2 linked regions of the Lonchura striata genome follow. The protein of the gene in region 1 purifies or fractionates together with the protein of each later gene. This does not show direct contact. Links are inferred from orthologs where the notes say so. Each region holds a gene or a part of one and is shown in the gene's direction. Other genes may lie near its edges.

Region 1 (3,907 bases):
AAAAGCAGATTGCAACATTAAATATAACATCAGTATGGTTTATATATTTATAAACAGTACATTTTAAAAAACCTTAATTTTTTGTTTTAAAAAAATTACCAAAAAAGGAAATGATCTTAAACTAAAACACTAGTATTCCAGCAATATTTGCAATTGGGAAAGCCTCTGAGCAGTGTGTTGGGGTTTGGATAGTGGGGGAGCTATAGAAGTGGCTTCTTTGAGAAGCTGCCAGAAGCTTCCCCTGTGTCTGATGGAGCTGATGCCGGCTGGCTCCAAAACAGACTTCTCATTATTCTACCAATCTGGTTATAAATTCCATACATTTCCTCAAACTTTCCTCTTGTTTTGCCCATGACAATAATTGCTGAGTGGTCTCTTCCTGTATTTAATCTCAATTTAGGAGCATTATATTTTCTCTCCCCTCTCCAGCTGATGGAGCAGCTTTGGTGGGCACCAGGTGTCCCACAGTCTGTCACTTTGGGATTATCATTTCTGGGGGATATTTTGGCAGAGCACTTCCAGTTTTGGCCATGACCCCCTGGCCCATCCTGGATGGATGTCTGTCTGGAAGGGTTTGGAGATGGAGGCAACCACAGCTTAGCAGAAGCGGGGGGATGTGCAGGGTCTCGGGTGAGCATGAGGTGATTCAGTGGGTGACCTCCACGGTGGGGTCAGATGCCATAAAGGACCTGGCCAAGGCTTTGGAGATGCAGGTCAATCGTGGCTGGACATGAGCCCAGGTGTGCCCATGTGGGCAAGAGGCCAATGGGTCCAGCAGGACCAGGGCGGTGACTGGGCACTGTGAGATCCTTCAAGTGTTGTGTCCCGTTCTGGTCCTCACAAGGAGGATATTGAGGGGTTGGAGCATGTGCAGAGGATGAAACGGAGATGGGGAAGGGGCTGGAGCACCAGGAGCGGCTGAGGGAGCTGGAAAGGGGCTCAGCCTGGAGAAAAGGAGGCTCAGGGAACCTTGTGGCTGTGCACAACTCCTGACAGGTGTCAGGGACCCCCTCAGCCAGGGGGGTCAGGCTCTGCTCCCAAGGAACAGGGACAGGATGAAGGAATGGCCTCAGGCTGGGCCAGGGCAGGTTCAGGTTGGACATCATGGAGAGGGCGGCCAGGCATTAAAAGCGGCTGCCCAAGGAGGTTTGGAGTCTCCATAGCTGGAGGTGTCCACGGAAGGCCTGGACGGGGCACTCAGTGCTCTGGGCTGGCTGACAAGGTGGGGACCGGTCGCAGGTTGGACCCAAGGATCTTCGAAGTCTTCTCCGATGCAGTCACTCTGAGAGCGGCACCCGCCGGGAGCGGGGATGCCGTCCCTCCTCCTCTTCCTCCCGCCGCCGGGCGGGATGCGGGAAGAGGCGGGAATGGCCGTGAGGGGATCCCGCCCCTGCCGCCCGCGCCGAGGGGCCGCCCGCGGCGGCGGGAGCGGCGCGTGCGCGGGGCGGGGCCTGGGGCGGCCGCGCCGTGCGAGGGTCCGGCGGGGCGGGGGGTCCCGCCCGCTTCCCCCCGGCCCTGCGTCCGTCCCTCCGTCCCCGCGGAGCGATGGTGCCGCGGCGCCGGCAGCCCGGCGGGGGGCGGCGGGGCCGACCCCGGGAGGCGGGCGCGGGGCCGCGGCGGGGCCGGCGGGTGCGGGGCCCGCGCCGCCATCTCCTCCGCCTGCTGCCGCCGCCGCTGCTGCTGCTGCTGCTGCTGGTGCTGCCCGCCGGCGTCCAGGGCCAGCCCGGGCCCGGCCCGCACGCCCCGGACTGGCCCCCCAGCGGCGCCGGGCCCAGCCTCAGCATCTACCTGAGCGAGGAGGAGGTGCGGCAGCTGATCGGTGAGTGCGCCCGGGGCGGCGCGGGGCTGCGGTGGGGGGAGCCCGGCCGCTCGGGAGGGCCCGAGGGGAGTCCGCTGGGCCGGGGTGGAGGTTTGCGGGCTGGAAAGGGATGGGGAGCTGTGGGACTGGGCTGGGAATGATGAGCGTTAGCAGGCTCTGGGGCCCAGGAGTGAATTGGGGTGTCCGTGGGAGTGTTGGGAGGGAAGCAGATCTCGGGTGCTGGAGAGGCTGCGGGATGAAGGACCGGAGAGGATGGGGGGTCTGTGGGTCTGGGATGGGAATGGGTGAATCCAGGGATTTGTGTGGGTTCTGTGGGAGTGGCTGCGAATGGGGGTGAAGGACTTGCGGCTCGGGAGGGTGTGGGGCTGAGGCACTGGGGTGGGGATGGTGGGTGTCAGCAGAGCCAGGGGTTTGCTCTGGGGTCCAGGAGACGGGGGGTGTCTGTGGGACTCTGCAAGGGACGCAGATTTGGGCGTGCAGAGAAGGATAGAAAGGGTCTTGAGCGAGGATGAAGGATATGGAGCTCAGGAGAGGATGGAGAGCTGTGGGACTGGGGTGGGGATCGGTGATCCCGGGGATCTGTGGGTTTTGTAGGACTGGGGTCGTGGTGAGAATAGACGAGTCAAAGGTGGTCTCTGTGCTGCTTTGTGTGTATGTGGTTAGGGGAAGAAAAGGCTTCACCCTTATGGTGAGGGGCTCCCCAGACTGGAGCAACCGGGGATCGTGTCCTGTGGGAGCAGGGTAAGCCCTGGAAGGAGTGAACTCAAAACCATGATTTAATTAGCCAGGCAAGCGACATACAGAGGGCAGAGAGGAGACCTGGCAATAATTGGGTGTGTGTGTGTGAAAGGAATCTTAATTTCTAGGCAGGCTGACAATTGCTGTGCAAGGACTTGGAGGCAGTTCCTGAAGTCCCCCATCTGGCCCGCTGTGGAAGGCTTTCACAGGAGTTCTGTGCTTGGAGAGTCTGACTTAAACAAAGATTTGTTTTCTGTAGGCTTTGGCTTGCATAGGCTCTTGTTTAGAGTTGGTGGCTGGAGTCTCAAAACAAATCTGTTGGTGTCCCCAGTGATTTGTTTTTCCCAAATGCCCTGTATCTCTGCAAGCTGGAAAACTGCCAGTGCAAGACTTTATTTGTGTCAAATGGACAAAATAAAAATATCTCCAGTTAATTTGCACTCTGTGAGCACACAGCTGACCCAAGTCATGGAATCTGGGGACTGAAGAGCACTGTAAACATTTTTCCCTCGTGGCTTGCCCTGGTGATCAGTGTCCTGCTGTTGTCATTTGTACGTGGCACGTGCTTACTGCCAGATGCTCTGGTACAGATAGAGGGTGAAAATGTCTGACTTTCTGGTGAGCTGGGATTCTAAATAAGTAGTTAATCTTGGGAGTACTGAAAGGTAAGGTTTGGGCTCTCCCCTGTCTAGTGCCTGAAATCTCTGTTAGTTGGATTTGTTCAGGCTTCCGTGGCCCACTGACATAATTATTCATCATGAAGTAGCAGCTGAGGAGGCAAGATGTGCTGTTACTATTTTTTAAGCTAAATTTCTTCCTCTAGCCTCGCTTGTGGGGGTCTATTACTACATGGCCGAAGGCACTCACTACTCGGCTGTCTGTAGCTGGTTTATATCACTTTTAGTATCTGACATGAATGATCTGTTCTGCCTCTGTGACCCCAGAGACTTGGATAAATTGGAATCTAATGTGGAGGTAAACTGGGACTTCCTTCAGTTAGTGGGGTTCAGATCACTGGAAATCTGTTGCAAACCAAACTTCCATGATCTAAATTGTGCTGTTGGCATGAGTAGATTTAATTTTAGGGGTATCTCTACAATTATAGGGGTGCTCTTGTCTGTAGGTGAGGTGTAGTTTAGGGAGGCATTTAGACACAGGCCAATTTATCAATAACTTAATGTATTCCTCTGGCAGAAGAAAATCCAGAGGGACAGACAGTTTTGTTCCAGGTGTTCACGATTCTGAAAACAAACCCAGCTTTTCATATGTTCCATTTTGTACTATCTGATTGGGGTTTATACAGTCAAGTTCATGGTTTAAGGCCTCGTACATATGCATGAACTTGCCAAG
Region 2 (3,907 bases), on another chromosome or scaffold:
GGAGCCAGGCATCACCAAGGGTAGGGCGGTAGCACACAAAAGCCATACGCGATTAAATGGCTCAAAGTCAAAAGGAGACGCGAACTAGAGATGTCAGAATAAGCAAAGTTGAGCCGAAGAGCTTTAGCATTAAAGTTTATTTCCCACTTACCCAGGTAGGTGACGCTACATTTTAGCAATCATCGAAGCAGCAAGTCTCTGTTCGGAAATAAGTCTGTTACTTCTTACATGTGTTTATTCTACTAACCCTCTCGCTCCCTTCCTGATCATTTCCGAGGCTGGTTTTGTTTGTTGTTGTTTTTTTTTTTTTAATTTATTTTTTATTTTTCTCCTAGGATACCCACAAACATGCTGAAAACACATTCAAAACATGGTAATAGGAAGAACACAATCACAAAGACTGAGAGGCTGAAACAGCATTGGGAAACAGGACGAAAGTCTGAGATGTAAGGCAGTCCCCCTTCCTCCCTGGAGTTTTATGCAGTTACAGTGACTGCAGCTATTTCACAAAAGCACCGACACAACAGGGGAAGGTGGGAATCTGCAAAACGAGTTTCCTTACCAGCTTGATTCCGCAAAATGCACAATAGAAGAAAAGAAAGACGAACAAACATTTGCTTTAAAAATCGTTGCTCGATTCACAGTCTATAGCGGACGTGGGGAGGGAGAGGAGAAAATCACTATAGATCACGGGTTTGAGAAAGCAACAGAAGCAACACTCGGGCGTGAAATGAGGATCGGTTTTGAGGACTGGACTGGTGTTTTGTGATGAGCAGCTATCCCACTTGCAGTACTAGCAGCAGAGACAGAGGGTAAGACTGAGCTTTCTGGAGTGCAGCGCTTGACTCGTCGTCCCTCCTCCTCCTCCCTCCCTCCCTCCCGCCCTCCCTCTCTCTCTCTCTCTCTCTCTCTCTCTCTGCTCTCCCTCTTTCTCTCTCTCCCTCTCTTTCTGTGTGTATGTAGCGCAGGCGGCTCTGCTGCTGCAGCGTCAGGGAAGAGCTACCGAGAGAGGCTTCAGCAGCTCCCTCCACTTTGGGCAAACTTGCCGGTTTACCGCTTCTTCTTTTTTTTTTTTTTTTTTTTTTCTTCTTCTTCTTTTTTTCTTTTTTTTTTCCTTACGAGTGAGAAGCTTCTCAATTGCCATTCAACATTTTAAAGCACAAGCCGCTCTGCCGTGAAAGCGCCTGATCCACACTTCTCTGAAAGACACAGGAGGGAATACACAATTGCAGATTTCACCCACTGTGGCAGTGCAGATCAAAGGAAACAACTGACTGATACAATTTTATTTGCAAATAGAACTCTGTATTTTTTTTAATCGCGTCGCGGCTTTTTTCCCCTCCCCTTTGCCATTCCGCTTTATATGGATGTAATTCAGAATCTGTGTTAATTCACATGGGGGATCCAGTTACATCTTGTTCCGCTCCGGGTATAATTACGAGAGACCAATAATCGCCTTTGGACACATAGTTTTGTTGCTAACCTTTGAACTGAAAGGATCAAGTTCAGATCTGGTTACCTGCATTGGGACGGGAAGGAAGAGGAGAGAGAGAGAGAGAGAGAGAGAGGGAGACTGCAATCTCATTTGTGAATCGCTCTCAGTGCTGCAGATCCAGATTGCTTTAACACATGCAGTGCAAATGCAGGTAAGGCACACACACAAACTGCGGATGCAAAAACAAACTTGGGACTGTTGTGTGTCTATGTTCTTATCTCCAGCCTTGCAAATTCCGGGCAAACGGCTTCTGCAGTTTCTGTATCGTTGCTTTGTGACTAATGACCTTGCGCAGAGTTGTTAAAAAAAATCCGCTCCGGAGAAAGAGCTGAACATTTTAGGCGATCTCTGAAGATGGATTTGGGTGCTTTTTTGCCAACCAAAGGGGATATTCTTTGGACTGCACTGTAATAGCCGGGGTTCTCTCCTATCAGCTGTGCAGCTGCCGACATTATTGGGATTTTTTTTTTTTTTTTTACTTTCTGGGTTTTTTTTTGTTTGGTTTTTTTTTTTGTTGTTGGTGGTGGTGTTTTTTTTTTTTTTTTATAAGAGCTGCCCATTGCTAAGAGGATTTGGAGTTTTCCCGGACCCAAGCCCTTTGAATAAAGCGAATCACAATATTTTCCCCTGTGTGTGCAGAGAGGGGGAAAAATAAAGCTAATGCCTTGGTCGTAAACGGCTGAGAGGGGGAGAGAGAGAGAGAGAAAAGAGAGAGAGTGTGTGAATTATAGTTAACTCTAGTGTTGAAGACAACGACCTGGGGGGCTTCGAATCGTACAGTACTGCTTCTGCTTTTATTGCAAACCTTGCAAAGTGAATACAGTAAAATCAGAGAGGAGGAGGAGGAGAAGGGGGAGGAGGAGGAAAATCCCATCCTATCTACTGAGATGAATCTTTAAAAAGCAAAATCTGCTGTCCCGTGAACTGTAAGTATATCGCAACTGGAAGGCAGGGATAGCAGCAGAGGAGCCAGCAGCAGGGTTTTGACCACCAATTGCACCAGTCATGAGACAATAAGTTTCCAGAAATAGAAGGATTTTATAATTGATCACCTGGACTGTCAGCCGCACTGTTGGCTTGTCAGGGGAGTTTATTGGGGGGCAGGTGGGAGTGAGAGGAGGGAGGGGGGTTTCGGTACGAGGAAGATGAGGAAGATGCGGACCCTCCTTCGCTTTGTGCATTGCTGCTGCTGCTGCTTCTTGTTCCTCCTGCCTCCTCCGCTCTGGGTCAGCCTCGCAGCGGCTAAGCAGCTCCTGAAGTACCGGCTGGCCGAGGAGGGACCCGCCGACATCCGCATCGGCAACGTGGCTTCCGACCTGGGGATCGTGACGGGCTCCGGAGAGGTGACATTCAGCCTGGAGTCGGGCTCCGACTACCTCAAGATCGATAACATGACCGGGGAGCTGAGCACCACAGAGCGGCGCATCGACCGCGAAAAGCTGCCGCAGTGCCAGATGATCTTCGACGAGAACGAGTGCTTCTTGGACTTTGAGGTGTCGGTCATCGGCCCCTCGCAGAGCTGGGTGGACCTCTTCGAGGGCCGGGTCATCATCCTGGACATCAACGACAACACCCCCACCTTTCCTTCCCCCGTCCTCACGCTCACCGTGGAGGAGAACCGGCCCGTGGGGACGCTCTACCTGCTCCCCACCGCCACCGACAGGGACTTCGGCCGCAACGGCATCGAGCGCTACGAGCTGCTGCAGGAGCCCGGCGGGGACGGCGGCCGGCGCGGCGGCGGGGGGGGCGCGGCCGCGGCGGCCCCCGAGAGCGCCCCCTTCCCCGGCGGCAGCAAGCGGCGGCAGGAGGCGGAGGCGGCCGCCCGCAGCAGCGTCTTCGAGCTGCAGGTGGCCGACACCCTGGACGGGGAGAAGCAGCCGCAGCTGATCGTCAAGGGGGCGCTGGACCGGGAGCAGCGGGACTCCTACGAGCTCAGCCTCCGCGTGCGGGACGGCGGCGACCCGGCACGGTCCTCGCAGGCCATCCTGAGGGTGCTGATCACCGACGTGAACGACAACAGCCCCCGCTTCGAGAAGAGCGTCTATGAGGCGGACCTGGCGGAGAACAGCAGCCCTGGGACCCCGATCCTGCAGCTGCGAGCCACCGACCTGGACGTGGGAGTGAATGGGCAGATCGAGTACGTCTTCGGGGCGGCCACTGAGTCCGTCAGGCGCCTACTGCGGCTGGACGAGACCTCGGGCTGGCTCAGCGTCTTGCACCGCATCGACCGGGAGGAGGTGAACCAGCTTCGCTTCACCGTCATGGCCCGAGACCGGGGCCAGCCCCCCAAGACAGACAAGGCCACTGTCGTGCTGAACATCCGGGATGAAAATGACAACGTGCCCACCATCGACATCCGGAAAATCGGGCGCATCCCGCTCCGGGACGGGGTGGCAAGCGTGGCCGAGGATG

What was found.
Region 2: the proteins of RYK (region 1) and PCDH7 purify together in Homo sapiens (affinity purification with mass spectrometry; 3 studies listed by BioGRID and IntAct, with this or other methods). This does not show direct contact. The link is inferred for Lonchura striata from reciprocal best matches to the Homo sapiens genes RYK and PCDH7.

Annotation. Positions count from the first base shown.
Region 1 is NC_134612.1:5,531,446-5,535,352, reverse strand, and holds the start of RYK (tyrosine-protein kinase RYK), read left to right. Parts: upstream 1-1,545; coding exon 1,546-1,819; intron 1,820-3,907. UniProt on the Homo sapiens protein: May be a coreceptor along with FZD8 of Wnt proteins, such as WNT1, WNT3, WNT3A and WNT5A. Involved in neuron differentiation, axon guidance, corpus callosum establishment and neurite outgrowth.
Region 2 is NC_134606.1:20,194,379-20,198,285, forward strand, and holds the start of PCDH7 (protocadherin-7), read left to right. Parts: upstream 1-936; 5' UTR 937-2,640; coding exon 2,641-3,907.